Arabidopsis thaliana: one gene and its partner. The protein of the gene in region 1 interacts with the protein of each later gene in a pairwise test. Each region holds a gene or a part of one and is shown on either strand. Other genes may lie near its edges.

Region 1 (18,317 bases):
TGCCATGTGTAAAGAGAGAAAAAAACAGTTAGTATTATATAATCAAGCAGCTATAGTCACTTCGTGAAGAAAACAACCTAACTCAAGCCATCGAGTGTAAATTCAAACAACATAATTGCTCTGTTAGTGGTAAGAATCGAGCTAAAAGAGTGAAAACTAAGGAAATTGTTTCTAACCTGTAAATCAACTGACAAGGAGTTGCAGAACCTGTCCCCACCGATCCAGACAATCTGTGTGCCCTGTGGCCACACCAGCGAACCACTGTTCCTCATTTTCCAAATCTTAGTAAATGGGGCGGATGGAGCAACAACGGTTCCATCAATTACATTCACATCAAGGACAAACCGACTGTCTAGTTTAGGGCGAGTACACCTGAGAGGTGCACCTCCATTGGTTGCTCGTGGCACAGGGTGGCTCAACCAAGGATTAGGAAACTATACCAAAAAAAAAAGGGTAAGAATTCCTCATAGCTATCAGAGAAGACACATAGAATAAACAAGAAGAAAAGTAATTATAAACTTAGAAGAAGAGCAATACTTGGGTAAACGGTCCTCTAAAAGGATGCAGATGTTGAACGGATACAGGCTTATCCATTCTTGTGTAATCCCCCTCGTTACCCATCACCGAATAGCAGATGGTGCACAGATCATAGTCTTCTTTACTGCACAATATTCACAAGCGAAACATATAAGCACAATAAGTTCTAGCATGTTTATAGTTTCTAAAGTAGTAAGTAGAAGGCATCCTTACACTTTCGACTTAAATCTAGGCCCAGTAATTGGAAGAACTCCACATCCGTCACAACGGATGCCCTTATGGAATACACCCAATGAAGTCCAGTAATCACCATTGGTGCTCTTTTTGGAATGACAAACACGACGAGGATGCTTGTTGAGGTTAACTGGATTTGGACAGGAGTAATTCATGGTACTGCCACTAAAGGGACACTCGTTGAAATTAGCACCCAGTCCAGACGAGTTTGGTACATGACCAGAAGTCTTTGAATGAGCGCCAGTGGGTTCATTCAGATTAACAGGTTTCCTTCCGGTCTGGGTCCTCTCAGAGATATCCTTCTTTCCACCAGCGGAAGGAACATCCCTGCTCAGGGAAGCACCTGAAGAACCAGGCTTGGTAACAGGTGAGCAAGGACTACTTTCCTGAGGAATTGAGAGCTGCCCTAGCTTGGAAATGCAATCAAGCATCTCACCAACTACAGGACTAGAAGTTGAGGCCTTGGATGCAAGGTCCATGTACACCTTTGATATGGTATCACGCATCGGGTTAGGTACAGCCATCAGAACATCATTTATACCCTTCTGGATTTTGGAAACCGGGTTAGGCATACCCGCAGGTGTGGAACTCCCACTACTCTCTGGAGCAGCAGAGTTAGTGGACACGCCAGCGTTCACATTGATCTTTAAGAACTTAAGACGCTGATTAGTAACATCAAAGAGATCGTTGTCATCAACAAGGGCAACCACATCCCCATCCTCATCAGAGTAAGTCAGACTCAATTCAGCATCCGCAGAGAGGTTAAAGAGAGCAGCGATCTTTTCCTTAAGACCAGCCATTTCAAGATCAAGCTGTCCATTAGCTTTAACAGGCACCCTGAAACGCCTAAGCACACCTCCATAGCTCACCTACATAATCACAAACAAAATTAGTATCACTTCAATGAAAAAAATGAAAAAAAATTGTCGAAGAAATAGATTACGATTCTAATTACGATAACTTATAGTTTTAATCATTGTTCGGGTATAAGATTCAAGCAGATACTGCTAAGTATGTCTGGAAAATTTTCGAATTACACTTAAGATTATAATACAGAGACAGAGAGAGAGAGAGTCGATCCATAGCGAAATTCAAAAGGAAAGGACCGATTACAAGCAACAAAATCAACAGAAACGAGACGATCGCCACGAAAACCCAGAATCACCGACAATTACTGTGAGAAAACTGACGATTCGCAAATAAAGAAAGGAAGGTTGTATCTCTAACCTTGACGACGAGTGCGTTAGCAGTAGACTCCATCGGTAACGGAGATCAGATCAGCTGGAGAGAATTAAAAGGCAAGCGAGAAGAAACCCTAATTGAAGAAAAAGAGTATCTAGCGAGAAAAAGAGAGAATCGGGGAGAGATTTATCTTAGAAGAAGCGTACCCGTAATCCGCTTTTCTCGTAAACAACCAAGAATTTAGACGGTCGCGTTTTATACTATATATCATTACACAGAATATTTATTAAAATAATTAATTTAATGGGCCCTTTTGTTTATTTAATTAATTTCTGACTTAGCCAACAAGATTTTGACTTTTTTGGTTACTACTGGCTTATCCAGAAAGACAAATCAAACTAACATCCCTAAGTTAAAGCCAAAAATATCAAGAGATACGAGTACATATAACTAGATATTTTATTTTTCATACTAACATTTTGAAAATTGACCAATTCGAGTTCTTATAAAATACTACATCTTTTATGTTTTCTCCAATAAAATGATCAGATACTATTTTATTTTATTAAAACTTCAACTCTTATGCCGACCACAAAAAATAAAAAAACATTTTAAACTCTAATTTATGAAGTTTGAGAAACAAACACCACCAATTCCAAAATCCAAACTCTTAAAACTCTTATGTTTGCTACCTAACCTCATATAAATTTAGTAAATTTAATTAGATATTTTCTTATTATTACGTTTTGTGAATATAATTTATCATATGAACTTTTTCTGTACATTTTGGTGCGTTCTAATAACTTAGTAACATTGATATACAATTTTATAATATAATAGTCATTTGAGACATTCGACATTCGACATACAAAAAAAAAAATATGAGATTCTATATGGCTATATGCAAGTGAAAAGAATTAAAGTGTGACTTGAATTACTAGCATATCATGATGTGATTGTGTAGTTGATGACAAGAGAATATATGGAATAAATAATTGTTTGTACAATTAATTTAGACAAGTTTCAAAACGCATACATTGTATCAATATATCATATATTGTTTTTATATGTGATCATGACAATAAAATATTAGAATAATAGATATAAATATATATATTATACTAGAATTGATATTTCGAGTTATAGATAAATCTAATCATAAAATAAAAAAATTATATTAAATAGATAGGAATTTATCAAAATGAACATCAAAATCAACCAAAAAACATAATCATATTTTTTTAAGCAACTTTAAAAACAAAAATACTCATGAGTATTCATCTAGTGTATACAAAAGGCTACTACAGTAGTTATAATCATATTCAAACAAGTGACTGAAACATATAATAATAAACTCTCAAGACAAAGACTTTTTTTTTTTAATCTGCCAATACCTCCTCGGATAGGTCTCCTCTCAGCAATCTCCCAAGCTATGTGCCTACGAATTAGCTTCCTCAATCGCCATATCTCAAAATGCAAGTATCCTCAGCATGGCAGCTCTTACTACCTAAATAACAATAAGAGGCCAATCTTAGTTTCTATCACCAGTGAATCCATGACCACCGTTTCTCCCACTAGTACCCCTTTGCTGTTGGTATCCACCCTGCCTTTGCTGCCCCTGTCCCTTCTCTCTGTATCTTGGACCTTCTGTCTGAGAACTCTCTTTCGATTGTTCTCGACTACGTTCTCCATCATAAGTATGAGACCCAACAGGTTTGTATTCATAATGCAGATTTTGCTTCTGTCTATCTCTGTTTGAAGGTGGCCTCTGATGGTGATGGTGCATATTCTCTTGCGCCGGTAAACCCCAACCTCCTTGTGACTCCTGCCCTCTTCCAAACCGTCGACCCTGCCCTGTGTTCTTTTGGAACATACTATTCGGATTTTGCTCAACCTGGACCTCCTTATTGGTAGATCGGTTTTGCAACTGGGCTTGTGTATCAGCTGATGTCGTTTTTTGTTCTGTAGTAAACCCTTGATGCTCGTATCCAACAACATTTTTTTCCTGAGATCCATAAGGTTTGTCCCTTGTACTTTCACGACCACCATACTTACCTGTCCTATTAGCTGTATGCCACACATGATCTCCAGGGACACGACCTTCTTTTGAAGCAGCAGGCAAATCTGGTTGGCTAAACCCATGGCCAGAGTGCTGCGTATGAGCTTTATTGAAATCCCTCTTATTGCCTTTTTTAGGGTCACCATAGTTGCTTCCTCCATCCTTGTTGCTTCTTGAAGCATGCTGCCTGCCGTGCATGCTCATTCCTTGATCTTTTCCAACAGCACTGGATTCCATTTCTTCGGCAGCAGAGTAATGCGTTTCAGGAGTCATATACCAGCCATCGTTCCATCCATCCTTATTACATGTGGTTTGATCCTTGGCAGCAATTTGTTCGGTTTGCTTACTAGAGTGATAGTTCACTGTTCCTCGGATGGGCTGATTTGAGGTTACAAATTGTCCATCCTCCAAAGCTTTAGTAGGTGCTCCAGAACCTCTCTGGTGCCATGATGCATGTTCTCTACCATGCTTTCCCTGCCTACCATTCCCATGTCTTGACTTTGAAGGAGACCCAGATTTCCCTGCAGTTGAACCAGAAGGTTGGAGAATTCCTGTACCCTCACCTCCACGATTTTCTTTCTGGTTTACATTCTCCGACATATCTGGAGCAGAGGTTACTAGATTTTTACTGACGATTTGCTCAGCCATTTCCTTTACTATAGGCTTCGGTACATATCTTTCAATTTCCACTCTTTTGCTTTTAGAACTAGTCTGTCCTTGATGCTGACTTTTTGAAGAGGTGCCAAACTCAGGGACAGTAGTCTGACTCCCTCCACCAGTGGAAACATCAGCTTTTTGCTGTGGATGTACTGGAGCCCAAATAACAGCATTGTTGCCAGAAAATTTCTCTGCAGGCTTATTTACCAGTGAGTTTCTTTGAGTCCTACGCACATGTTGAGATTTCCAGTTGTTTTTAGCTCTGTTTTGAGACTCTTCATTAGTGAAGGAACTGATTTGTTCAGACGAATCACCAGACACTTTGATATCCAGGCTTGGAACTGAAACAGACCCCAACTCAATTTCAGCTGCCCTTGCCCTAGCAGTCTCAATTGACTCATCTCCCGATTTTGTTTCTTTTCCAACGGCAACTCTTGTAGTATTCATAGTTGCTGTCTCCTCAGCCTTGTGTTTTTTCTTACCATTCCTGTTATTTTTTCTTTTCGGGAAAGTTGACTCAGCTGAAACGGTTGACGTCGCTGGCATGTCTGAGTTATTGCTTGAGACACCTTCATTAACAACCTCAGGAGACGGGACAACATCAAACACCTCTGCAGTAGCAACAGAGCTCCCTGTCGGTTTTTTCTCAAATATAATATTTTGCTTCTGCTTATAACCCAAGCGCTTCTGTTTTGAGGCACCGCCATCACGTGGAAGATTATCCTGTTGGGAAGGGCCCACATTATTTGCATATTCTGTTGAAGTCCTCGTGTTTTGCGTTGTGTTTTTTCCTGATCCTCCAGTAGGTTCTACGGAATTTGTAGCATTAGATGAATGAGATCCAGGATCTGTTGGCATGTCAGCCGGAGAAGCATTAGATGCAGCTTCCATGTTCTTAACTGAACCCTCCTCATATATTTGGGAACGTCTATTTAACTCTTCTAGTTTTGCAAGAGCCTTAGCCCGCTGATCTCTCGCTCTTTCTTCCTCCTCTTTCTGCCTCTGTTGAGCACGCTGCCTGGCTAACTCTCTCATCGTAGAACGCTTTTAAGGGAACATGGCAAACACTCAGTCAAACCAAAAAAGGATGACTACAAACAAGAGATACATAAAAGTATAAATAACAACCAGAATCATATGAACTAGTTTATACCTGGTTATCCTTTGGGTCTGCTGATATTCCCGACCCAGGCCTCCTGATGGACTCGGTATCCAAAGAGTCATCGACATTAACCTCGCGAAAGCTTTCTGTGTTTGTAGCTAAAGTTGTATGGGAGGAGCCTGACATAACAGTTGTCTTCTGCCAAGCATCATTGCCTTCACTGTTCACTATTCGTTTGGTCTGCGGATCTGCTCTGCCTTGAGTCTGTTGAGTAGGTCTCCTGTAGGTACTAACATCAAAACTTTCCCGACATAAAGGATGGCATAACTGGCCGAAACACAATTGAAAAATGATAACTGACCTGAATATGCTAGTTCCACCCATAGCTGCGGGTTCAGCATTCTTGTTTGTGGCAGAATCACCTTGATTATAGTGTGATGAGTTCTTACTGTCACTTGCATGACCAGTTCGATGATTTCTGGCTGAAACTTTATTTGCAGAGTTCCCAGAATTGAGTGTACGTGGTTGGCTTTCCTGCTCATCTCTATTAACAACAGATGACGAATTTTGCCAACCATCATTAGTTCTAGTTTTTGCATTTAAGCCCTCGATTTTCTGAATCAAACTAGGATCTCCAGGGGCAGCAAGTTCTGCTTTGACTGGTTGTACTTCACCACTTGCGTCATTTCTGATTTCTCTCCTCTCGTTTCTTGAAGTTTGCATCTGTTGAGCTATCTTCTCTGCATTCGGGAGCCTATTTCCAAGAAATTCTTCCCGCTTTGCATTATCTTCCCCAAACCTCCCATCTTGGTGCTTTAGGAGAACCTTGTATGGCCTTTGTGTTTCTTGAGAATGTGATGACTCGTTCCGTTCCAAAGACACTGAACTTCCAGGCGTATCATATCCACCTTGACCAGAATGATTGTTATAAGCATGCGGACCAGTAGGCCTACCTGCAAAAGGTAGGTCTCTGTTGCTGGGACTGCCATACCCCATGGGAGGACCATAGTAGCCTTCGTGTGGCGCTGGACCAACATAAAACCCAGGCCTAGTCTGCATCCTTGGGTGGACATAAGAGTCAAGCATTGGAGGTCTGAACATTCTTTCATTATTAGCGTGATTACCCCTAGGACCAGCCCCATGTCCAGGAGCAGGTGGAACTTGCGTAGGATAAAATGGAAAAGGATCCATGTGAAAACCCCCAGGACCCATTGGGGCACCATACGGGTGGTTCCCTCCGTACCAGCCACCTCCTTGATGATTATTTACTGGAGGACCACGCCAAGCATCATACCGAGGAGGAAAATTAGCATTAGGATAAGATTGTGAACCACGTGAGTCCAATTGCCCTTCCTCTCTACAATGTCTAGGTGCATCTTCACTGTATGGTTGATTCTCTCTTCTCCAGGAATTGGCATCCCCAATCCGGTCATTAGCTTCTGCAAATAAAAGACAAGATATGGTCAAATATAGTGTCCGCGAGAACATCCACTAAAAAGATGTACGGGGAATAAAGCAGTAAGAAGAATTCACATGAACACCTGTGAGGGTAACATGGCCCTCTCATAAGAGATGATTATAAACATAAGTAACTCTCGAAATGAGATGCCAACATCTGTTGTATATCCCCAAAACATAGAAAAATAGGTTTGAAAGTAAGAACCTTCTGTGCAATCTACACCTTGCCCTTCCACAGATCTTCCAGACGAAGATGGAGGACGAGCGTGAGGTCCAGCATCTGCAAATTTGTAGTTTCTAAGAGCCATGTCTAACGTATCTCCTTCATATAAGCACATCACATTCTATCTAGGTAATCCTAAAATTCTCAGTGGCACATATTAGGAGGTCATCTAAGATCGAAAAAGTGGTCAACCAACAGCAAGCCAAAAAAAAAGGTCATTCCCGAAAGTTTTAACTTTGCTGAATATCCGTGTAGATAAACTTCTCAACAGAATTACATTTAGAAGTACCAACTTTCAAAATGAACCCGTCTGTGCTAACGTCACTCCCTTGAAGGCAAGGACGACGAGTATAAGATTGAATTGTGTACAAGTTGAAACAATTTTTTTTTCCTAGTTTACATGCTGATCGTACTTTTTGAAAAGAGCAAAGAGAACTATTCTTAAATCAAAGTACTGTAATGCATGGATGACACAATAATTTTTACTGTTAATAGATGGTACCTTGTGGCCTTGTACTCTTTTCAGAAGTGTCCTTTTCAGCACCAAGGGAAGGAAAATCTCCAGAAGTCAAAGAAAACCCATCATTCTTTGATGGAGCAACTCCCTGTAGAAAACAATGAGAAGTCTAAGAATGAAGATAAATTTCATGGTAGATAATGCAAAGGTGGGTAAATTGTACACAACTATTCTTCAAAAAAAACCTTGAAGATTGAAGTTTGCCAAATAATAATACAAAAACCCTTCCATCAAATTCTATTTGCCCAACCAGAACTCGAGACTTATTGGAGACCATGTGCCACTCAGTTGTCAGATTATCTTACGCACTACAAAGCATTTCTCTAAGAGAAATAAGTGCCCTATAATTTGACAAATTTAGCATCCTAATCTTGTTCCCATAGCAAACACGAATGATGTATCCAGCTATTAAAGTTCTATCTAGATTGAATATCAATCATTAATCCCAAAAAGTAATTACCATTCACAGTCCCAAAAACATAAGAACTTGCTGTGTGTTTGTTGTAACTAAGCACAAGTGAAGTAAGAGAAGAGTGACATGGAGCTTCACAGATGTAAGGATAAAAAAAGATGCTTAGCAGAGTCCCGATAAATATTAGAGACGACTTTAAAGGGAAGAACCATACCAACTTCTCTGGCGCCACATGTTGACCCCATGTTGCAGAAGTCTCTGACACGGGTTCAGCAAATCGGGATAACTGGGAACTTCCTGGTCTTGTGTCTGCACTATGTGGACGCTGTAGTGCAACTGATGGCTGATTAGATGGAAACACCCCAGATGCTGATGAAGGCCGCGAGTTCGAATCCCATGCAACAGAAGAAGAAGAGTCATGTGCTTTGTTACTATCGGCAGTTGAAGGTCGAGTGACACTTCCACCAGAAGAAGGTCGATTACTGAGGTGGCTTGGTGAACCAGGGCCACTTTCAGTTCGTGGTGACAAGGATGATGTCCCCCAAGCATTCAGTGATGATTTACTGCCCCAACTAAGTGTTCCCCTAAAATAGATGTCCAGAAGAAAATTAAACCATCTAAAATTTGAGGACGAAAAAGAATGAGGGAAATAGCATCTCAAACAGGTACAAACTTACTTTGGAACAATTTCTACATTTGGGTCAAGGCCTTGGTTCTCTAACCTTAAATTCAGAAGAGAAGTGTTCAGGGAACGAGATTATACATATATATGAAGTCTAAATGTGATCATGCGCTCATCAAATACCTTTGGCTTGGTAAGTTAATCGGTTTTGGAACAGCAACCTTTCCCAATATAGTCATGCCACTTCTTCTTGTAGTACCCCATCTGCTAATATCCAGCACATGTAATTTCTCATCATCACCACAGAGGATACAAAGCTCTTTAAGTGTAAATGAGCAAAGTATAAATGATTATACAATTTATTAAAAAAACGATCAGCTCTTTACATATGTTTTCTACACACATTTTACAACTTTCCCTTCTTTTAATCTAAATGGTGATGTTGGCATGTTGCAAATCAATAATAATGTTGAATAAAATTATTACAAATACATGGTGAATGTCTATCATGCAAGCAAGCTCTTTCAAAGAAAGAAAAACCACACCCTGAGTTTCCTTCTATACCCCAGGCACATATAGTGATTCTATATTTTAACAACAGTTGGAATATACAGCACAACGAAAACAAGTAATTCATATGAAGAAAAGGCCAAATCAAAAGAAAAATCATGCAAGTAACGTGCAAAGAGGCCAATATATAACCCATAATCCAGTATAAAAACATAGAAAAGTTCATGACAAAGATAAAGTTGAAAGAAGAGAAACCTTCGATCTCCTGTCGTGCTAGAGGTCATTATAAAAGCAGCTACACGATCCAATTACACCACTTGAAACCTGTAAGTCACATACAGAATCAGATTCACAAATGAAATTTGAAGCTCAAATCCCAAAGAATCAAACAAGACCGACACTGAAGAACTATTGCTATAACACTGCTACCGTGAAATGTGTTGCAGAATCAGACTGCCTATACAAATTCTCCAACATGAATTGAAATACTTTCTAAAATTCACCATCATAACAGAAAGACAATGTTCGACAATCAAATTGGTACAGAAACCTAAAAGTATGAAAGATCGTCAAACTGCGGAATCAAAAGAGGTTCCAGACTAAATGACCGCAATACTAAAAAAACAATTGACGTATTCCCAGAATGTTGACAATTTCGCAATCAACTTGCTAGAACAACAACAGCAACAAAAAAAGAGCTCTGAAACATACAAATGTCTCCAGAAATGTCAATCAAGCTCTACAAAAGGACCCAAATTACTTCAAAATGCGATAATTCTATAAACTCATCACTCGATTCCTCTGGAATACAAAGGGGAAAAAAAGGTAGAGAAGAAACTGACCAAAGGGGATTATAGAGAAAATCTGCTCTCTTTTTTTGAATAGAGAGGGGGGGTCCTCGCAAACCCTAGATATTAATTGTGAGAATCGAACGAAGAGGGTGCAGATCGGATGTGTTCCTGGGCGATGAGGGAAAAGGAAGAAGGGGAAGATGAAGGAGAAAAGGAAGGATCTGTGGGAGAAAGAAGAAAGTGATGATGATTGATGAAGATGAAGCTTATTACGACGACGTTCAACGGATTGGTTGAAAGAGGAGAAAGCGTCGAAGTTCAGGGCTGCACGGTTTTACTCAGCTTTTCCTCTCTCTCTTTTTTTTTTTCCTGTGAATTGTAAAATGAATGCCGATTAAAATAAAATAGAGCGAATAAAGGATCACCTATCTCCAAAAAACAAAAATATATATATAAATTAAAAGAGTAGTATTATTCATTAACATCATTTATATATTTACCTACCCATTTTAAAAGATAGCCATAGTTTGACAAAAAAAAAAAAAAAAAGGATAGCCATAAAAACAATACTTAACAAAATAGTTTCCTTTCTTTTACATTTTACGAATGTTAAAAATGGGGGAGAAATTGAATTATGTGGTAGGTTCACTTCTTCATTTTAAGGACATGTTTAGGGAAGTAAGACGATGGCAGGCATGATCAAATGAATAAGGTTTTTTGGGTAATGCTTATGTTTATCTTCCAAACCTCTCATGTTTCTTTGTGGAGTACACTCATTCTAAGGAAAGATCATATATTAATCCGGTGTTTTGTAATCGAGGGTTGGAAGTGTTCGTACATGCACTGTGTACATGGTGCTAGAGGATGATCTTGAGCGGATTTGAGCTCAACGCTAGCTTATTTTTTTTCAAATTTTAAAATTTTGTGTAAATTTTATATACAGAAGATTTTAGATAATGCATAGTTTGATTTTTATTAATTTATTACGAGTAGTCTTAGCATATTTTAAATTTTCGTGCTTTTCTCCAAATTGATACTTAAGAGTTAGAGAGAAAGCCAACAAACTTAAGAAAGTTAGAGAACGAGACACTTGAATGCTTACAAATGATGATCCCACCCCATTTTATACAACTTCACCTTTGATAGAATCATATTCAATAAACAGTAATGTATGAAAAGAAAACAAAAAAACAAATATACTTGAACAATGACCAAATATAATAAACCTCTTGGATCCAGCCCATATGATCTTTGCTAAACTCTTGAACAATTTGGGCCGTGGCAATATGTAGATTTTGGTCCATGGATCATTTATCTATTTTAATGTTACCCTTGCAGAGATTATTTTCTTCTCTTTGTTACTTTCACAATCAACACCCCAAAATATGTTATTACAACAATTTCACCCTAAATCGTTTTGTCCAAATGTGTAAATTACACTAAACATATATAGGGCAAAATATTACATAGTCAATATAATGAGCCTTAAGCTAATCTAATTAGATGTGAAAACAGAGAAGTGACGTAAATCTAGAAAATATTGTTACACATAAAGCATTCACCAGTCTTGTACTAGTAAACAGAGATCCTGAATAAATTCAGTGTCTCACTCGGTTCATGTACTGTCGTTTCCAAGGTCTGCCATTGACAAACCGAAAAGCTGAAACTCTTCACGCCAAAGCCAAAATACAATAACTTTTTCCCAATGGGAAATATCTTTTATCGTGGAGAGAAACAAACAAAGAGCTTCGACCTAATTACACATTCTTCTTTTTCAGTTTACATATAAAAAGCCTTCTAGCGATCCTTTCACTGTGGCCAATTTGTTCTGTGACCTTTTGATCCTCTGCCTGCAATTCTACAGGTATTTTGATAGGTAGTCTCAGTTTAGAATTTGTCTACTAGGATTAAAAATTCAATTTCTTAAAATCGTGATTGGTAATATTTATGAGTTAAGTACATGAGTTAGGTTCGTAATCCAATATAAACACATTGTTATACATACCTTTATCTCTTGAGATTCTTCAAGGGTTATTTTAATCTCTTACAAAAATCATAACTTCGAATATCAGCCAAAAAAAGGATCAGTCTCGTTGGACACCACTTGTTTGTTTCCTTTGTTTTTTTTAAAAGAGGTCTTTATCCAGCTATCCCACTCTGCTCTTCTTCTTTAAGCATTTTGCATTCTTGTTTCTTGGTTTTGTGTTTTAGTTTTGAGAGAAAATGGGACAGATTCCGAGGTTTCTTTCTTGGAGGAATATGTTGGTCCTCTCGTTGGCCATCAACTTCAGCTTGATTCTAAAGATTTTGAAGGGTGATAGAGAACGAGGAGATTCATGGGACAGAACAGCGTATGTTAGCATATGGCCCGTGGTATCCACCACGGCTTCAGAATCTTCTTCGTTGTCTTCAGCATCTTGCAACTATAGCAAGATTGAAGAAGACGATGATAGAATTATCAATCTCAAATTGTAAGTTTCTACTTACTCTCTTCCATGTGCTAGATTACAATTTTCTAAAGAAAGTTCTGTTCTTGTCACTATAGTGGAATTTTTGATTGCTTGTTTATTTTTTCTTGGTGTTCAGAATAATAAATGTGTATTAATGGCGTATCCTCTAGAATCTTTAGAGAAATTTCTCCCTTATCCTATACTTGATTATATAGCAAGGAATCTAAGATTATCCTTTAAGCACGCAAGTGAAGCTCCAAGCTTTTATGCAATAATCACCATTCGATTTTAAATGCAAACATTGAAAGAGGGATAAAATAGTCAATCTAAAGGTTTTGATTCTATTTTCCTAATGATCTTTCATTGACTTGCCTATATTTTCTAACAAGTTTTCTATAGTTCTGTCTTGGTTCTGCGTATGCTTGTTTTCCTTAACGTGCGCCGCTAGTTTGAATATTTGGTTCTGTTATTTACTTTGTTATGAGTCTTATGACTCATCAAACACACAAAAAAACTTTGCAAATTGATCATGGTGGTCCATTTGTTTTCTTTTTAGGGAATTTAGATATATTTGTCATAAATGTCAACTGTTAAGTATTAAAACTTAAATTGGAAATGGGCCATTCTTCTTGTTAATGAAAGTAAAGAAGAGAGTGACTTTTTTTTTTATAATAAGGATTTGGTATGTTAGAGGAAAGGATGGTAGTGAGTGATGTTTCTTTTTGGATGCTCGCAATTAATCTAGTGTAGTGATAGCCAATGGGTTTCAAGTTTGAAAAATTTAGGTTGAGGAGACACTTGGTACATCAGAATATAAAACTCTTTTGATTCTTTCCAATTCCATTGTCAAGTAAAAACTTTTAAATAGGGAATAGTAAAGAGAGCCCACATTGTGGTGACATGATTCTGAATACATAAATATTTCATGTCCTTTGAGGGAATCTAAAGGACTAGTCTGGTGATCTAGTACTTGACCATGTTTTTCACTGTTGCAGAAATAAGAAGGTGATGTTTTATGTTCTCCATTAAATAAAAGGACCCACTAATTCTTTACCTCTATGCTCAGCTCTCGTTGACTCAAAGATTAACTCCTGTCACACGGTAGAATGTATATATATGCTAATCTTGATGTGTATATCTCTATGCAGTGGTGATCCAACGGTGTATGAGAGATATTGGCAGGAAAATGGAGAGGTGACAACAATGGTGATACCTGGATGGCAATCTCTTAGCTATTTTTCAGATGAAAACAACCTCTGTTGGTTTCTTGAGCCAGAGCTTGCCAAAGAGATTGTGAGGGTGCATAAGGTTGTTGGGAATGCTGTAACGCAAGACCGCTTCATTGTTGTTGGCACTGGCTCAACACAATTGTATCAGGCTGCTCTCTATGCTCTCTCCCCACATGATGACTCCGGTCCCATTAATGTCGTGTCAGCCACACCCTATTATAGTGTGAGTCATATTTATAGCCATCTCAAAACTATCTGTATGTCTTGTTAGACACGCCATTTTGCTGGATACTAGTTTTTTTTTATAGTTATTTTAGCACATATATGTGTCAATCTAACATGTATAACCGGTTTGGTTGCAGACATACCCGTTGATTACAGACTGCCTCAAATCAGGTTTATATCGATGGGGTGGAGATGCAAAGACGTACAAAGAAGATGGTCCATACATTGAACTTGTTACATCTCCAAACAACCCTGATGGGTTCTTGAGAGAATCAGTAGTGAACAGTACTGAAGGTATATTGATCCATGATTTGGCTTACTATTGGCCACAGTATACACCGATAACATCACCAGCTGATCACGATGTTATGCTCTTCACTGCTTCAAAGAGCACTGGCCATGCAGGGATACGGATTGGGTAAGTACAATCTTTTGCTTTTGTGGGAGCAAAACAGAGAACAAGTCTCTTAAACGTTACATTCTTGTTCATTTAATTTGCAGATGGGCTTTGGTGAAAGACAGAGAGACGGCTAGGAAAATGATAGAGTACATTGAACTCAACACGATTGGGGTTTCAAAGGACTCACAGCTTAGAGTAGCCAAGGTTCTTAAGGTTGTGTCAGACAGTTGTGGGAATGTAACGGGCAAATCTTTCTTTGACCATAGTTATGATGCTATGTATGAGAGGTGGAAACTATTGAAACAAGCAGCAAAGGATACTAAACGTTTCAGTGTTCCTGATTTCGTCTCTCAACGTTGCAATTTCTTTGGCAGGGTCTTTGAGCCACAACCAGGTACGTATAAAGAAAAACAAAAGTAGAAATGATTGTAGAACCACTTCTTTTGTTTTTCATTTGGTTTGGTGTGTTTTGTGCAGCATTTGCATGGTTTAAGTGTGAAGAAGGGATAGTGGATTGTGAGAAGTTTCTTAGAGAGGAGAAGAAGATTCTAACTAAAAGTGGAAAGTACTTCGGAGATGAGCTAAGTAATGTGAGGATAAGCATGTTGGATAGAGATACTAACTTTAATATTTTCCTTCACAGGATTACATCTTCCTTTAATTCAACTTTGTAAGTGCATATGCATGTGATTATGATCGATTGTCATAACTTGCAACAAGTGTTTTGCTCCATAAATATTATTGGAAATTTGAATAATGTGAAGGATCAATCAAAGACCTATTCATCAAACCATCTCTGATGATATGAATGAGCAAACATTCATTCACTACGACACAACCGAGAGTTTGTTCAAGCGTTGTCAGCATTTTGGTCTGGAACTTTGTAATCTCGAAGGATCAGATCCAACATCTCATAGCTTTTTCAGTATTAAATTCCAGCCTTAGGTAATCCTTCAGAGTCATATCAACATTTTTGCTACGGAAGGATCATTGTCGCTACCTTCCATTTTACATTTGTGTCAGCTTTATTCACAGCACCGTTTTTTAGCCGCATCAACTTTCTTTCTTTGTATAATTCAGAAGAATGAAATCATCCAAAATCATTTATATTTCATAACAAAAATGTTTTAAAAAAGTTGAACATAAAAAAAAAAAAAAAAAATTCCAAAACACCAACTAAACTCTCAAAAATACCAAATTGTGAAAGTTTTCAAAATATAATCTCTTGTCACTCATTCATCATACTCTAAAAGTTTAACTTTCATGGTTTGTATGTGAAAAAATAAATTAAAACATTAAAATAAAGCTTTTAGAAACTAATATGTATCCACAATATACATATGGATGAGGACAATGGTGGATGTGCACAACCACACAAAAACCATTCACGTGATTGTATCTGCAAAATTCATCATCAACTTTCTCCTGACTACGCCACATCATATTTGTTTGTGGAACTATTCCATCGTCAAACGGCCGTTCGTCTTTTGTCTTTTTCCACAAATCTACTAGCTCCCTTCTCTATCAACTTGATCGTCTACATAACTCTACTTGTCTTTTTCCCTATTCACAAATTAGTCTTTTTCTTGAGATTAGTAATTATTTTGAGGCCAACTTGATCAGAATCTGAGTTTGAATTCCAATTATACCCATTCTTGAATCTTAATTGCATGTTATATTTGTTTCCAAACCTATTCATATCCTTACTCAAAACACCATGTTTGTTGTTTTCACTTTGTTTGATGCATAGCTCATAAAACATCAGCGACACAATTTCTTCACACAAAAAGATAAAAGGGTTTATAACCAAGATATAAGTTTCAAAACCTTCACCATAAGCAAGAAGCATAACAACTTCAACTTGTATACATTTTTTTCTAGTTTTGTACTAACTAGATATAGAGACACAAAAAGAGAGAAAACATGATTAAGAGTTGGAATTAATGATAAGTTGTAAATATATCTCACATAAAACGTGTTTGAATTCCATTTTAAGGATAAATGATAGTACTTCAGATCTTAAATGAATTTGTTGCAACTTGCACCATGATTTCTTTCAAACCAAAAAACAGGTCTAGACCGGGTGGTCCACAGATTTTTGGCTCACAGGAATATTCCTACATATAACACTACAACTGTACAACATACATATAGAGCAGTAGATAGTAAATTATACCGAATAAAAAAATCTAGTTACATTTCAAGTCACACGAACTGTTAGAACGGTTCATGTTAGGCTCAGCATATTTCTAAGTAATAAATTTTGAAATCGAAAAGGCTTTTCTAAGTATAGCCGGACTGAATTACTATATGAGTCGTGGACTTACCGGTCCGACGGTGAACAACTATTGGTTCCGAGAATGGTATTTCTGCGTTCAGAATTCTGTGAGTACGGATTAATAATATATTTATACTGTCAATTGTCAAAGAGCCGATTTCCGATTTAAGAAACTAATTTGTTTGATAATGAACACAAACAAGAAACCAAAATTAAGGCCGGATTTATACCCATGACACGTTATCTCTACGTCCAATGCTCTTGCCATTTGCTGTGATCCGTAAGTTCCCAAAGACACTTTTTCTTTCACCACAGTCCCACTTTTGATCTTTTTTTTTACAGTAAAGTCAGAACTCAGAAGTACCTTGAACAAAACCCTAAACGCACTTTTAATATTAATCACTCTCAAACCACCATTTAATTATTGTAAATCATATACTCCAATGGAACATACTTTTTTTACTGTACTTTTCATCAAACTCTAAAAAGGTTATGGCTTATGGGTGTTCTTTTTGGATGAAACTATCTATATATGAATATTATTCTAAAACAAACAAAAAAAAACGTAAAAAGTTGAGACTCCCTTTTATTAAGCGGCAGGGTTTGTTGACCACACTCTCATCATCTATCTCTTTCTTATCTTCACTGTTTTATCTTTTCTTTCGGATTAAATTAAATAATTTTTTCCTCCATAATTTATACTCTTAACTCTCATGAATTATTGGTCTCTCTATTATAGTTTTTTAAGTAACAATCTAATTGTAGTACGGATGTCTCTTGAGATGTTCAAGAATTAAGAAATAAAGAAAGAGGGATCGGAGAATGAATTTTGAGGATCAAGAAGAAGATATGGAGATGTCAGGTGTTAATCCCCCCTGCGGTTACGACTCTCTAAGCGGTGAGGGAGCCACATCTAGTGGTGGTGGAGGAGTAGGAAGGAGTAAAGGAGTTGGAGCGAAGATAAGGTATAGAGAGTGCTTGAAGAACCATGCTGTTAACATAGGTGGCCACGCCGTGGACGGTTGTTGCGAGTTTATGCCTTCCGGTGAAGATGGAACGCTCGACGCTCTTAAGTGTGCAGCTTGCGGCTGCCACCGCAACTTCCACCGCAAGGAAACCGAAAGCATCGGCGGTAGAGCCCACAGAGTTCCCACGTACTACAACCGCCCGCCGCAGCCGCATCAGCCGCCTGGATATCTTCATCTAACATCTCCCGCGGCGCCTTACAGGCCACCCGCGGCATCGGGGGACGAGGAGGATACATCAAATCCTAGCAGCAGCGGCGGGACCACGAAGAGGTTTAGAACGAAGTTCACGGCGGAACAGAAAGAGAAGATGTTAGCCTTTGCGGAGAGGTTGGGGTGGAGAATTCAGAAGCATGATGACGTGGCGGTTGAGCAGTTCTGTGCGGAGACTGGTGTTAGGAGACAA
Region 2 (14,635 bases), on another chromosome or scaffold:
TTTGATAAAAAAAAACAATTGTTACATTTTCATTTGACGTATTTGTACTATTTAAAGTTTTTTTCAACACTTTGTAATATGACTTGACTTCTATTATTCTATAAACTATTGACCCAATAAATATCTTATAAAAAGTAATCGTTTTCTGTTGTGTTCACTGAACAATTATTTTCTTTTATTTCTGGAATATGTCACAAAGAAGAGACGAATCTTGGAAGTTTTAAGTTCATCTTTTATTATTATGTTCCAAGTTTATATTCTTCTACGAAGTATTCCTTGCTAAAACACGGTATATATCAAACTTTACGTGTTGTTTTATAGAACTTATTAACAAATATTATTTGGTACACTTTCCTTCTTATTTATTTTTTAAAAACCATTAGACATGATTTTAATAACTGGTTGTCATTAACTAAGAACACATTTCTTACCTGATTTGTGCTTTTAAAATGCCAGTTTTTGTTTCACAAAAAAAAATAATTTCAGATTTTATATTGCCTTGGTTTATTGGATCGTATTTAAGATATCTATCTACAAGATATTTTTTTTTGTTTTTTTGTTTACTAAAGCTTATCTATGTACAAGATACAACTATCTTTATTGCTATATCACATCTATTTATATTCTTTTATTGTGAATCTTTGTGGTTTTTAAAGCAAAACATTATTTGTTCCACTTTCTAGGTATATAAATCTACCAAATAAATATGTCTCAAACTCATGGCACTGAATATTTAATGAATAAATTTGGAAAAATGACCTATTTTTGGGTTTTCATTTGAAAAATACCCTATCTTTATTTCTTTTTTTAAACAATTAATTTTCAATATATAAAGTACTAAAACAGCTTCAGTAAAATTAGGAAATAACAAAAAAAAATTAAAACTTAAAACAAAAAAAAAATCATAAATACAAATTTGATGTAACTAATAATTTTAAAGATAATTATTATCTTAAATATTTTTAAACAAAATGTTGTCCAAAAAGTAAAATTAAACTTTATCAAGTGATAGACTTTTTAGAAATATTTGTAAATATTGTTTCATAAAATTTTAATATATAAAATAAATAAAGTGATAGACTTTATATGAATTCAAATTTAATTTTTATCTTAAATATTTTAAACAAATTTTCGTCCAAAAAAATAAGCAAACAAGTTTATTAGGTGATAGACTTTAGAATATTTTTCAAAATTTTATAATATCTAAAACCAATAACTTTTTATCTCAAAAAATAGTTGAAAACATAATTAAGAATTCGAATTTATTTTATTTTAATTTTGTTTTTCTAAATTTCGAATTTTGTTTTAATTTATGAATAAAACAACTTTTATTTTAAATCTGGATAAATTTGTCATCTTATATATCAAGAATTACAATTTTTATTTAAAATAGAAAAAGATGTATTTTTCAAATGAAAACTCAAAAACAAGATAGTTTTCAAAATCTCCCAATAATGAATTTATCTAAACCAACATCAAAACAAAAATAGAAAGAAAAAAAAAAGTAGTTTCAATAGACAAAATTAATTCTATTTAAAATCAACAAACTAAAAAGATACTAAACAAACATTTTACTAACAATAAAATATAATGTTTTTTACAATAATTAAAGTTTATTATACATATAAAACTGTCTATTGAAGATCTGAACGTTACAAAGAGAAATGCACAGTAAAATTAATATTTATGTAGAATTATTCATCGTAATCACATTTATCTTTTTATTTATTTTTATTTTGTTATTGTAATCACATTTATTTTTATATGCAGATAGATAAATATCATCGTAATATATTTAGCTCAAACACTTCTGGTATTAATCCATGTTAAAAGAAAAGAAAAAAAATCATATATTCCTGGTTTATCTTCATACTGAAAAATGACAAAAAAAAACAAAAAAAATGACACGTGTTTAAAGATTTTGACGATTTCACTCTAATCTTATCTTTCTTTTTTATTATTATTTAAGTTTGTTTAATTGATTTTGTCTCCAATAGTTTTTATTTTTCTCTCCCTCGTAAAATCTCAACCCCTAAAAATAAAATAAATTGAGATTTTTCGCACAATTTTCTCGTCGTTTCCATTATTTTCTCTCTTCTTGACTCGGTCGACGAAATTCACCAACCCGTTCTCTCTTTCTCTTTCTCTCTTCTTTGAATTCCCAAAGTGATTGAATCAAAAACTTCGTTTGATTACAATTCGATTTCCCCCACACAAAAAAAGAGATCTTGTTTTAATTTCGCGGCGAGGGTTCGGTTTGGCTTTCCCGTTGATCGCGTTGTTCTTCTTCTTCTTTGGTGATTCAATTTCTTCAATTCAATCAAATTCGTATCTTTCTTCTTCTTTGATAATGTTTAGGATTTAGGTTTCGTAATTTCTGAAAACCCTAGTTTAGTTTTTGTTCGAGAAAAAAGAAAAGGAAAACAAAAAAAAAAAGGAAAAATCAAATTTATTCAATTCATTCTTTTTGTGTTACCCAAATTCGGTTGTTAATACGTCTCAATTTCGAATTTCTTTTCTAGGGTTTTTTAGGGTTCCAAGGAAGCTCTCAAAATTTCTGGTGCCTAGTATTTTTTTGTTGCCATCTGAAATCAAGAGTTTCCTTTTTCTCTCCATAGATCTATTAATTCATCTTTCGATTATCCAAAAAAAAAAATAACTTTTTAGTTTATCTTCGGATCTGATCTATCTTCTTTAGGGGGTTTTGAGTTTTTCTAGGGATTGTGTACAAAAGAGGGATTTTTTTGGTTTTGTTAGGTTTAAAGTGTATATAGAGATTAATAGAAATGGCTTTAAATTTTTCACATAGACCTTTTTCTTCTCATCTATCTGAGGAACCAATGATGATAGCCAATGGGAATTGGTGTTCAAGTTTCGATAATGGAAGGAAGAATACTGGAGGAGATGCTTCTTCTGTTGATATACTTGATGTTTTGCCATCTGATCCGTTTGGTATGGATATCAACAATACTTTCACGGCTATTACTGGATGGCTTGAGGATTTGGAGGATGATTATAATAACCAATATGGAAGAAGAAGAAGAGATGACATTTGGATTGGTGATGGAAACCGTCAGCAGCTGTTTGCTGGATTGAGTTTCTTTTGGAACAATGCAATGCAGTTTCAGAGTAGTGGTTACAGTTATGGATCAGAGTCATTGTTTGGTGGGGCGTTTGATGGGTCTCTGTTTTCCACATGTAAATTCCCTGAAAGTAGTGGGGAAAATAATGGGTTTGGAGGGGCATTAGATGGTGATGGATCTTGTCATGGTGCTTTCATATCTGCTAGTAGTGTTGATGAGGTATTGAGCCATGAGAATGCGAGGAATGGTGAAGTTGTAGGAAGTAGTGATCGCTGCAATAATGGAGAAGAGGATGCGTATGTTCATCCAGCGATTGGTTTTTGTCTTTATCACTTGCGAGGGAAGGATCTTCTTTCAGTTAGTATGGTTTGCAAGTCTTTGCATACTACTGTTTGTGATGACACGTTACTTTGGAAGCATATCCACATTTGTCGACCGTTGAATGAGAAGATCACGGAAGAGGCTCTACTGCATTTAACTGAGAGGGCTCAGGGTACTATGCAGTGTTTGAGGATCGTAGATTGCTGTAGAATTACTGATGATTGTCTTAAGCGGGTGGTGGCGCGCAACCGACAAGTAGTCAAGGTGAGCTTCTTTCCTTAATTTACTTTAAAGCGTATTTGGATTACTAATAAGTAATATTGTAAGTTTTTATAGAAGTGCCTGGTAATTGAATTGATTTGTGGGATCCTATTAAAACCGAATGTTGTTTTGTGGTTGGCAGATTGGTGTGCCTGGATGCACAAGGATAACTATCGATGGTATTTTGAGCGTCTTGAGGGATCTGAAGTCTGCGGGAAAGCTTCAAGTGAAGCATTTACAACTTCGTGGCCTCTTTGGAGTGACTAAAGATCACTACGATGAACTGATTGACTTGTTGAACATTGACAATAAAGTCAAGCAGACTATTCAGAAGCCGCGTTTTTACCATAGAGGAGAAGCTTGTGTGTCCTGTGATGATGACCGGGCACTAGATATTGAGATGTGCCCAAAGTGTCAAAATTTTAAGCTTGTGTATGACTGTCCAGCAGAAGATTGTAAAGGGAAAAAGAAAGGTTCTGAGGAATGCCGTGCTTGTTCTCTTTGCATACAGAGGTGTTATCATTGTGGTCGGTGCATCATTGACACTGAATACGAAGAAATGTTTTGTTTAGAGCTTTTGTGTGCTGTTTGTTCGAAGCCGACCCCTAAGTTAACTCTCTAGGTATAAAATTCCATCTGAGCCTTTCTCTTCTCTATGATTGAATGACTCAGTCTCCACGGTTCAATGGAGATGATCTTCAACTATCTCTAGAACCTTTTTTTTTTTAAACAATAAAAATATGTTCCATTTCATATTTGTTGAACACTCTTATCTTTATTATTGGAGATCTATTAAAAGTTTGCATCTTTGGGTTGTTCTTGTTCTTCATCTAATAATCAAACAAGAGAGATCATTTATGTAAATTTAAGATAAGCTTTGACAAATAATTAAAGACTCACGCGCCTTTTATATTAATCTTTGACATCTTCTGCTATCTCTCCTTCTTCCTTGGAGAAAACATGTTTGTTTCCGATAACAACAATCCTTCACGGGACATAAACATGATGATCGGCGATGTTACATCAAACGGAGATCTACAGCCACACCAGATCATCCTCGGAGAAAGCAGTGGAGGAGAGGATCATGAGATCATCAAAGCACCAAAGAAACGAGCAGAGACATGGGCACAAGACGAGACTCGAACCTTAATCTCATTACGGAGAGAAATGGACAATCTTTTCAACACTTCCAAATCTAACAAACATCTCTGGGAACAGATTTCTAAGAAAATGAGAGAGAAAGGGTTTGATCGATCACCATCTATGTGTACGGACAAGTGGAGGAACATATTGAAAGAGTTTAAGAAAGCTAAGCAACATGAAGATAAAGCAACAAGTGGAGGATCAACGAAGATGTCTTATTACAATGAGATTGAAGATATTTTCAGAGAAAGAAAGAAGAAAGTGGCATTCTATAAGAGTCCTGCTACTACTACACCATCTTCTGCTAAAGTTGATTCCTTTATGCAATTTACAGATAAAGGTACAATCTTTAGCTTGGTTTTGGGGATTCTGATTGATTTGTTGCAGGTTTGGATAAAATTTCTTAATGGGTTTTGGTTTAGATTTGGATTGAGAAGATAAAGACTGATCTTTTTTGGTTTTAGTTTTGTTCCTCTTTTAGTGCTAAACCTGGTTAAAGAGGCTTTTGACCATTAATGGCTAATTATAAAGTTGTAGATTTGGTTTGTTAAACTAGATTGACTTTTTATAGTAAATTTGGGTTTTCTTCTAAAATTGATCTTTATCTTTATCTTCTTGTAGGTTTTGAAGATACTGGTATTTCATTTACATCTGTTGAAGGTATTGATCTCACATTTATTGAATCTTTGAGTGTATATATAAATGGTGGTGTTGAAATCTTTTTTAGTTGGGGAATTACTTTGAGAGAAATGGTTGTATCAGTCCTAACTTTGGGTAAACAATTGTGCAACAACTTATGATTCTCTTATAATTCAGTGAAATAAAAGTGAACTCATACCAAATTGTAGAATGTTAGTGATAATGTGAAGCCGATTTTGTTTGGTTTGTGGAAGTAGTGTTAGTCACTTTAGTCTTGATATGAGTTGTATCTGTATGCAGCTAATGGCAGGCCAACGCTAAATCTTGAAACGGAGCTTGATCATGATGGTCTTCCTCTCCCCATTGCTGCTGATCCCATCACAGCAAATGGAGTTCCTCCTTGGAATTGGAGAGACACCCCTGGAAATGGTAAGTAACCAGACAATCTAACTTAGAGAGAGCCTCTCCTTGTTTATTAAGCTTTTGAACTTTTATGGCAACTACTACTAATCGTTGTCATGTTTGAAGCAGGCGTTGATGGTCAGCCATTTGCTGGGAGGATCATAACGGTGAAATTTGGAGATTACACAAGACGAGTTGGGATTGATGGTACTGCTGAAGCAATTAAGGAAGCTATCAGATCCGCGTTTAGATTGAGAACAAGACGAGCTTTTTGGCTAGAAGATGAAGAACAGGTTATTCGCTCTCTTGACCGAGACATGCCTTTAGGGAACTATATACTCCGCATTGATGAAGGTAAATCCACTCTTTCTTCTATGCTATTCATCGAATACTCTCTGGTTAGAGGTTTCTCAATATCCATTTGAATTCAGGGATAGCCGTTAGAGTGTGCCACTATGATGAATCTGATCCGTTACCAGTCCATCAAGAGGAGAAGATATTCTACACCGAAGAAGATTACCGAGATTTCTTGGCTCGACGAGGATGGACATGTCTGAGAGAGTTTGACGCGTTTCAAAACATAGACAATATGGACGAGCTTCAATCCGGTCGCTTATACAGAGGAATGAGATGAGAAAACGGTTACTACAGAAGGCTAGAAGAAACCTTTTATTTTTCATCAGTCACTATAAATAGCTTTTTTTGATCCAAAATACTTTATTTTCATCAGTCACTGTACATATGCACCTCTTTTGACATGCCATTGTGAATCAGAGGAATTTGATTTGTTTATTGAGAAATCTCTTTTTGATCCAAGAGCCATAAAGTTTGATTGGTAAACAAAACGGTTCAGTACAAGAGACAGGGACAATGAAAAAGCTGATAACTTTTGAACAAAACACAACACAAGTACAGGATTCCAATTCTCATACAATTCAGAAAAAGAAAAAAAACAGAAGAGAAAACGATATAGGTGTGTGAATAAAGGATTCACGTGCCTTTAAGAACAATGAGAACTCCCAAAGAGATAAACGCAAGCTGAACAAAGAGCCTTGCATACGTGTGTCCCGACTTCTGTTACTCTTCTTCATCCCACTCGTCGTTCTTGTATGAGACAAGCGTGTCGACTTTGTGAATCTGCAAAGTATGAAACCACCAAAATACTTAGACATTTCAAAGTGTATAAATAAAGGTTTCAAAATTCTTCCTCCTCCTTACCTTGGTATCAAAACCGTGTAACTTAACCATCTGTGGATTAGCAATCAACTTCGGGTCGCTCTCGATCCAAGTGAATGGAACAGCCACATCAGTATCCGTATACGCCAATACATCAAACACACCTAATACAAACAACATGCACAATCAAAAACGAGAATCCAAATCAAACTAGTTCCGAAATGATGATCACTCAAAGTTCCTATGAATTGGTTCTTACATGTTTCATCAAGACAAGGCAAGTAAGTAACACTTGAAGCAACCTGTCTCATAATAGCTTGAATCTCCCTCATGATCTCCTTATCACTCTTCTCCCTCGACACACTAAAAAGTTCCATAAAGATAACATAATGAAACAAAGAATCAAAGAAAACAAACAAACTTGCGAAAGTATCAACACTAAAAACAAAAAACTGACCCTTTGTCAACAACTTCATTATCAGTCTCAATACGAAAATTCCACCTCTCCAAGACTTCACCAGTAGCTTTACTCATAATCACTAACACTACTCTCTGCAACTTCCCAGCTTCAAGCCATTCTTTAGACCAAAAACAAAATCAAGTCTCAGACTCTCTCACAAAAGGAATCATTGAATAAAAGTCTGACATTTGTAAAATTACCGGAGATCTGAGAAGTGAGATTAGACATGAAAGATTTGACGGATTCATCTTCAATAAGCAACATCGGAAGTCCATATTTCTTCACTTTCACAAAACTTTCCTCTGGATAAACTGCACGATTATACAATATACTGTACCCAGAAACCAATAACGAATCAATTTCACTGTAAAAAAATCACAGAATCGAAGATTTCCAGACACTGAAATTGAAAAGTTCCGATCCAATTCTCACCTGTTCGCAGCGTAACCTGGAGGAAGAAGAAGAAGGAAAAAAAAAACATCAAATCGAGAAGAAGATATCTGAAATTGAGTCTAAGAAAAAATGAAGATACGTACAGAAGAATTCGCTGACGATGGCAGCAGATCCGTGTAAAGTGATGATATCTTTAGCAGCCGCTGTTTTGGACGCCATGGAGTCTAAGGATCGGTGATTTTGAAAATTGAATTCGCAAGTGTTAACAGCGTCGCTTAGGGTTTTAATGATTTTGAAGGGAAAAAAAGATATTTGAGGGAAGGATTAAAAAGAAGGAAAGAAAGAAAAAGAAAAAAAAAGGAATAAGAGCGTAACGGCTAGTCTTCCTCGGAAATGCACTTGCAACGGCTAGTTTGGGTTATTATAGTTTAAGGTCGAATCCACTAATTTTTTTTAAAAAAACAATATAATATCATTACCAGAATTTTTAAAATATCAAATATAAAAAAACAACAAATTATTTTTAGCCAATAGCAACATCTCTACAAACCATTGTAATAATTATTATTTTTGGTTTGCAACACATTTTACATTTAAAAGAAATACACCAAATATTAAATATATAATAACTTTGTTTTAAAAATTTAATAGAAAAGTCCATAGTTTTCTGCCATACGGATTTAGACTCGCCATGTGGTTTTTAACTTTTAAGCCGTATGTCTCTTTGATAAACGAATGAAGCATCAATCAAAATTTTAAGAAGCCTTTTAAGTGTTGAAAGGTAAATTTTGTAGTTTCTATTGGTAAATCGACTCATCTATGACTTTTTTTTTTAAATAGATTTCAAATATACTTCATATATATGTATATATAAATTTATGTCGTGACACCCATGACCGAAATCTAGAAAAAAAAAAAAAAAAAACTAAGGTATTTTTTTCCAGTCTAACTGAAAAAATACAATTTTACAAATAACTCAAACTTCAAATGTGTTTTGATTTACTTAATTAAGCCATTATTAATCCACATAAGGTTATTAACACAAATTTATCAAACTAACTAGCCACTTGATAATCCATTACTAGGTAAATTCAGGTATATATATAAGTTAATAATAAACTGATTATTTGACCAAAAAAAAGCATAATTAAAATATATTTTTATACATAAATAAAATAAAATAAACTCTCTTTGATGTTGACATCATATGAACACAGAGAAACAGATGAATGAAAGCGTTGTTAGCCTCTCTACTAGAGAGCTCTTTAAACTCTTTCCAAAAGCTTTCACTCACTCACTGTTACGCTATTAAATGTGGTTCCATCTCAGATATATACGTATCCAATCGAATTTTGGATTCTTATATAAAATTTGGCTTCTTGGGTTATGCCAATATGTTGTTCGATGAAATGCCTAAGAGAGATTCCGTGTCTTGGAACACAATGATTTCTGGGTACACAAGCTGTGGGAAATTGGAGGATGCATGGTGTTTATTTACATGTATGAAGAGATCTGGATCTGATGTTGATGGGTATAGTTTTAGTAGGTTGTTGAAAGGGATTGCTTCTGTGAAAAGGTTCGATCTTGGAGAGCAAGTGCATGGTTTGGTTATAAAGGGAGGTTATGAGTGTAATGTGTATGTTGGAAGTTCGCTTGTTGATATGTATGCGAAATGTGAAAGAGTTGAAGATGCTTTTGAGGCTTTTAAGGAGATTTCAGAGCCTAACTCTGTTTCATGGAATGCTTTGATTGCTGGATTTGTGCAAGTGCGAGATATCAAGACTGCTTTTTGGTTGTTGGGTTTGATGGAGATGAAAGCTGCTGTGACTATGGATGCTGGCACTTTCGCTCCACTTCTTACTTTGCTTGATGATCCTATGTTTTGTAACTTGTTAAAGCAAGTTCATGCTAAGGTTTTGAAACTCGGGCTTCAACACGAGATCACTATATGCAATGCGATGATCAGCTCTTATGCAGATTGTGGGTCAGTATCAGATGCAAAGAGAGTTTTTGATGGCTTGGGTGGCTCAAAAGACTTGATTTCGTGGAATTCGATGATTGCAGGTTTCTCTAAACATGAGCTAAAGGAATCTGCTTTTGAACTGTTTATTCAAATGCAAAGACATTGGGTCGAAACCGACATTTATACTTACACCGGCTTGTTAAGCGCTTGCTCTGGCGAAGAACATCAAATTTTTGGGAAGTCTTTGCATGGTATGGTAATAAAGAAGGGATTGGAACAAGTAACTTCTGCAACAAATGCATTGATCTCTATGTATATTCAGTTTCCTACAGGCACCATGGAAGATGCTCTGTCTCTATTTGAATCCTTAAAATCTAAGGATCTTATCTCTTGGAATTCGATCATTACAGGGTTCGCCCAGAAGGGTCTCAGCGAGGATGCGGTAAAGTTCTTTAGCTACTTAAGATCCTCAGAGATAAAAGTCGACGATTACGCCTTCTCTGCACTTCTCAGATCATGCTCGGACCTAGCAACACTCCAATTAGGTCAGCAGATCCACGCGCTCGCCACTAAATCAGGCTTCGTATCAAACGAGTTTGTAATCAGTTCTCTGATCGTGATGTACTCAAAATGTGGCATAATCGAGAGTGCACGAAAATGCTTCCAACAGATTTCCTCCAAACACAGCACAGTAGCTTGGAACGCAATGATTCTTGGATACGCTCAACATGGTTTAGGCCAAGTCTCTCTTGATCTCTTCTCCCAAATGTGTAACCAAAACGTGAAGCTAGACCATGTAACCTTCACAGCAATCCTTACAGCTTGTAGCCACACCGGTTTAATACAAGAGGGACTCGAGTTGCTTAATTTAATGGAACCGGTTTACAAAATCCAACCTCGAATGGAACATTACGCAGCTGCAGTTGATCTCTTAGGCAGAGCAGGGCTCGTGAACAAAGCGAAAGAGTTAATCGAATCAATGCCGTTGAATCCTGATCCAATGGTATTGAAAACTTTCCTTGGAGTTTGCAGGGCTTGTGGAGAGATCGAAATGGCTACTCAAGTGGCTAACCATTTGCTAGAGATTGAACCAGAAGATCATTTTACGTATGTTTCGTTGTCTCATATGTATAGTGATCTCAAGAAATGGGAAGAGAAAGCAAGTGTGAAGAAGATGATGAAGGAGAGAGGTGTAAAGAAAGTTCCAGGTTGGAGCTGGATTGAGATTAGAAATCAAGTTAAGGCCTTTAATGCTGAAGATCGATCAAATCCTCTTTGTCAAGATATATATATGATGATTAAAGACTTGACTCAGGAAATGCAGTGGCTTGATTCTGATAATGGGGTTGATGCAGATTCACTTCATGCTTAAGAGAAAATTTAGTTTAGGCCAAAACAAAACTTGTGATATAACTTTATTTAAAATTATTAGTTTGTTTGGGTGTTATTCAAAATTTCAACAACTACGACAAATAATGAAACTGAAAATTATGTTTAAAACTTTATTATCATGTGACCAAAAACAATGGTTAAACAAAAAAAGTTAAGAATTGGATTACTCGACGCTCACTATCCTGACAATAGATGAACCATCAATCTTGTGCAAAGCCACAATGGAATCTCCAGTCTTACAAATTCCCTTCGTCTTGGCAAATCCTATAGCTAATCTAATCATCTCCTCCGTTGAATCTCTAGCTGAACATCCCACCACCGGAATAATCCCACGGTAAATCAAACCACGTCTCGCCACATGAGCTACCGAGTCCGAGCATTCAGCAATCTCTGGCATAATCACCGACAGAATCGGAACGCTTGGCCTGTATTTAGCCACAAGCTCCGCCGTGTAACCGCCTCTAGTGAGAACAACGATCGCGGACGCGAAAACACTCCGCGCAGTCGAAACAGCTGAAGCAGCTAAGCTCTCGATTGGAGATAACGGTAACGAAACCATTCCTAGGGTTTTCTTGTGGAGAATGTCGTAATCTATGAAATCCTCTGCTTCTTTGCAGATCCTTGACATTGTTAACACGGCAGTCTCAGGGTGAGCTCCAGCAGCAGTTTCTCCGCTAAGCATAACGCAATCTGTCCCGTCAAGAACCGCGTTTGCTACGTCGGTAGCTTCAGCTCTAGTCGGGCGAGGAGAGACTGTCATGGATTCAAGCATCTGTGTGGCTGTGACCACTGGTTTCCCATGAGCATTAGCCTTGTTGATCATTGTTTTCTGAGCAAGAAACATCTTTTCGATTGGTATCTCCATCCCAAGATCTCCTCTAGCCACCATGAAAGCATCAGAATTCTCCAGGATCTTATCGAAATTCATTACTCCTTCTTGATTCTCCACCTTTGACATAAGCATGATGCTCTTTGAGTGCTCTCCAAGTAATTTCCTTACTTGGATTAGGTCAGATCCTTTACGAACAAAAGAGAGAGCGATAATGTCGATTTTGTTCGGAACTCCCCATTGCATAATATCTTCTTTATCTTTCTCAGTGAGTGTTGGGAGATCAACTACAATTCCAGGAAGATTAACGTTTTTTCTTTCTCCAAGAAGAGCAGAGTTCTCGCATCGGCAACGAACAAGACCGAGATACTTGTCACAGGACAAGACATTTAGAGAGATTGTTCCGTCTGAACAAAGGATCACGTCACCAGGTTTGAGATCCTCTGCAAGTTTCTTGTAGCTCATGGAGATAGTGTTGGAATCTCCTTGTATCTTGTAATCAATTGAGATGGTGATCTCTTGACCTTGCTTTAGCTGTATCGGTTTGCCTTCTTTGAGAAACCCGGTTCGTATCACAGGACTCTTTGTGTCGAGCATGACGGCGCAGAGGATACCAGTGTTGTCCATGGCGGTTCTGAGATTATCGAGAGTTTCTTGATGGTAAGAGTGAGAACCATGGGAGAAATTGAACCGGGCTACGTTCATACCAGCCTTGAGAAGCTTCTCAATCATCTCCACCGATCTTGAAGCTGGTCCAAGAGTACAAACTATCTTCGTCTTTGAACGAAGAGCTCCATTGGTTGCTTGTCCACCAAGTAACATCTCCATTGTGGAAACTTTTGAAAGATCGCTAAGAAAAATTTAAGAGAACGAACTTTGAAAGACAGAGGAAAGTAAGAGTTTTTGCTTGATGAAAATTATGATGAGCAAAGCCATGTATATATAGAAGGAGCGATATGAGAATTTCCATTTCACGTTGAATTATCGAATTTCCATTTTTGTATGGTTTTGGCAATAGTTTTTTTTCTATTTCGAATTTAACAAATATTTTTGAAGGAAAATGTTAAAAGTTAGCTGAAAAATTTATAAATTTTCAAATTTAAGGTTTTTACTTTTTACATAAACACGTTTTATTAGGTCTGAGGAAACTGTGTACAACTTATGTTTTCTTCAAAACTGTCTAGTGATTATTTGGGCCATATCTATTGCAAGTCAGTGAAATATCATTTGAGCCAAAATTGTGGAAAGGCCCAATAAAATCCAAAATATTAAATCTCATGAAGATTGCGGTTTGCGTAGTTTTTTTTCTATTTTTGCGGCCAAAACCCCTTACTAAAAATAAAATGACAAGGTTTACCAAACCAATGGAGATAATTACATCCACTTGTGGACAAAATTTTCAACTTAAATGTTTTGTTTTTTGCAAATAATAGGTCAGATTTGAGTATTAAGAGCCACATCTCATTTAAAAATGTCATTCAAATGTGTCTTGGCGTCTTGGCTAATTTAAATTTTGTGTAATCAATCTATTTGAATTTCTTTATTTTCCTGACGAATAAGTTTCTCACAAATGGGAGAGTCCATTCGTGAAAAATAAACATGGAACCAGCAAGAGACCTGGTATGAAAAACAAATATATATTTTGTGAACAGAAAAAAAAAACATTATCTAAAAACTCTCATGAGGGGACATGACACATTCCTCTTTTAATTTGTTTTCTTGGTCAACTCCAATTTAAGTAAACGTTTTAATATAATTTACCAAATATGTGAGTCATCCAAGCTATCCCATGAGGGCCAAATGTGGCGTGAACATTTCTAAAACTGTTTACTTATACCATGAGTTAGGCAACTTTTTAGCCAAATCATATATTAAAGGATGTTGACATCATTATATAAAAATTCAAAACAAAATTCAAGGGCTGAAAAGAAAAGGTTTAAGCATTCAAGTATTGACAAGTATAATTTTACATAAGATTAACATATATATAATTTTACATAAGATTAATTTTACAAACAATTAAGAAATATTTACAATGCAAATGACAATAAGATTTAGATTCACATAAAAGTACAATTCTGTTAATATTGCATTACACAAATACAAATCAAATAAATTTATATGAAATTTGCTAAGAATCTATCAATTAAACAATTCACTTGTATTTCTTGCTAGAGTTATTCTCCCTAAACCAATCAAGCCAATTACGTAAAACCCACAAAATACTAACCAAAATAGCAAACCCAATCACAACAAGCCACGATAACCAAGCCCACCGTGGAACCACTCCATCCGCCGCACCGCTACCGTAAAACGTCGCCATATCATACAAAACCACCGGACCAGCCAATCCACGAACCACAGTATAAAAAAGATAAAACGGCGGAGACAAAAGCTCTCTCACTCTCCTCGCTAACGCGACGTCGTTTTTTCTATACCCGGTGATCGTCCAGACGTTCTGACACGCGCTCGTCGCCTCCGCGAGTATCAAGAGGAGGAGAAGCCCGTGAGCTCCGTGACCGACGGCGAATCTACACGTGGCGAAAACGTATAGGGTCGCAATGTGGTGGAGG

Evidence for each region.
Region 2: the proteins of MOS1 (region 1) and MAD2 interact in a two-hybrid assay, tested with the Arabidopsis thaliana proteins (one study listed by BioGRID).

Annotation. Positions count from the first base shown.
Region 1 is NC_003075.7:12,724,905-12,743,221, reverse strand, and holds MOS1 (modifier of snc1), read right to left. Parts: upstream 10,545-18,317; 5' UTR 10,420-10,544; exon of another isoform or gene 10,356-10,419; intron 9,838-10,355; 5' UTR 9,798-9,837; coding exon 9,769-9,797; intron 9,271-9,768; coding exon 9,187-9,270; intron 9,104-9,186; coding exon 9,059-9,103; intron 8,966-9,058; coding exon 8,596-8,965; intron 8,058-8,595; coding exon 7,955-8,057; intron 7,552-7,954; coding exon 7,435-7,551; intron 7,211-7,434; coding exon 6,133-7,210; intron 6,052-6,132; coding exon 5,823-6,051; intron 5,714-5,822; coding exon 3,485-5,713; 3' UTR 3,171-3,484; downstream 1-3,170. Other genes in the region: NBR1 (ubiquitin-associated (UBA)/TS-N domain-containing protein / octicosapeptide/Phox/Bemp1 (PB1) domain-containing protein), read right to left, coding at 177-434, 538-661, 751-1,640, 1,999-2,031; TAR2 (tryptophan aminotransferase related 2), read left to right, coding at 12,528-12,775, 13,903-14,206, 14,346-14,626, 14,710-15,002, 15,086-15,282; HB22 (homeobox protein 22), read left to right, coding at 17,709-18,317. UniProt on the Arabidopsis thaliana protein: Involved in the regulation of the chromatin structure and DNA methylation at the SNC1 locus. Regulates the expression of SNC1 at chromatin level.
Region 2 is NC_003074.8:9,496,694-9,511,328, reverse strand, and holds MAD2 (DNA-binding HORMA family protein), read right to left. Parts: upstream 8,274-14,635; 5' UTR 8,098-8,273; coding exon 8,022-8,097; coding exon of another isoform or gene 8,018-8,021; exon of another isoform or gene 7,934-8,017; coding exon 7,918-7,933; exon of another isoform or gene 7,817-7,917; coding exon 7,686-7,816; intron 7,604-7,685; coding exon 7,483-7,603; intron 7,389-7,482; coding exon 7,285-7,388; intron 7,190-7,284; coding exon 7,068-7,189; intron 6,987-7,067; coding exon 6,927-6,986; 3' UTR 6,659-6,926; downstream 1-6,658. Other genes in the region: AT3G26000 (Ribonuclease inhibitor), read left to right, coding at 2,787-3,668, 3,808-4,287; AT3G25990 (Homeodomain-like superfamily protein), read left to right, coding at 4,626-5,148, 5,430-5,468, 5,748-5,876, 5,979-6,203, 6,281-6,483; AT3G25970 (Pentatricopeptide repeat (PPR) superfamily protein), read left to right, coding at 9,108-11,213; AT3G25960 (Pyruvate kinase family protein), read right to left, coding at 11,397-12,890; AT3G25950 (TRAM, LAG1 and CLN8 (TLC) lipid-sensing domain containing protein), read right to left, coding at 14,218-14,635. UniProt on the Arabidopsis thaliana protein: Required for the execution of the mitotic checkpoint which monitors the process of kinetochore-spindle attachment and delays the onset of anaphase when this process is not complete.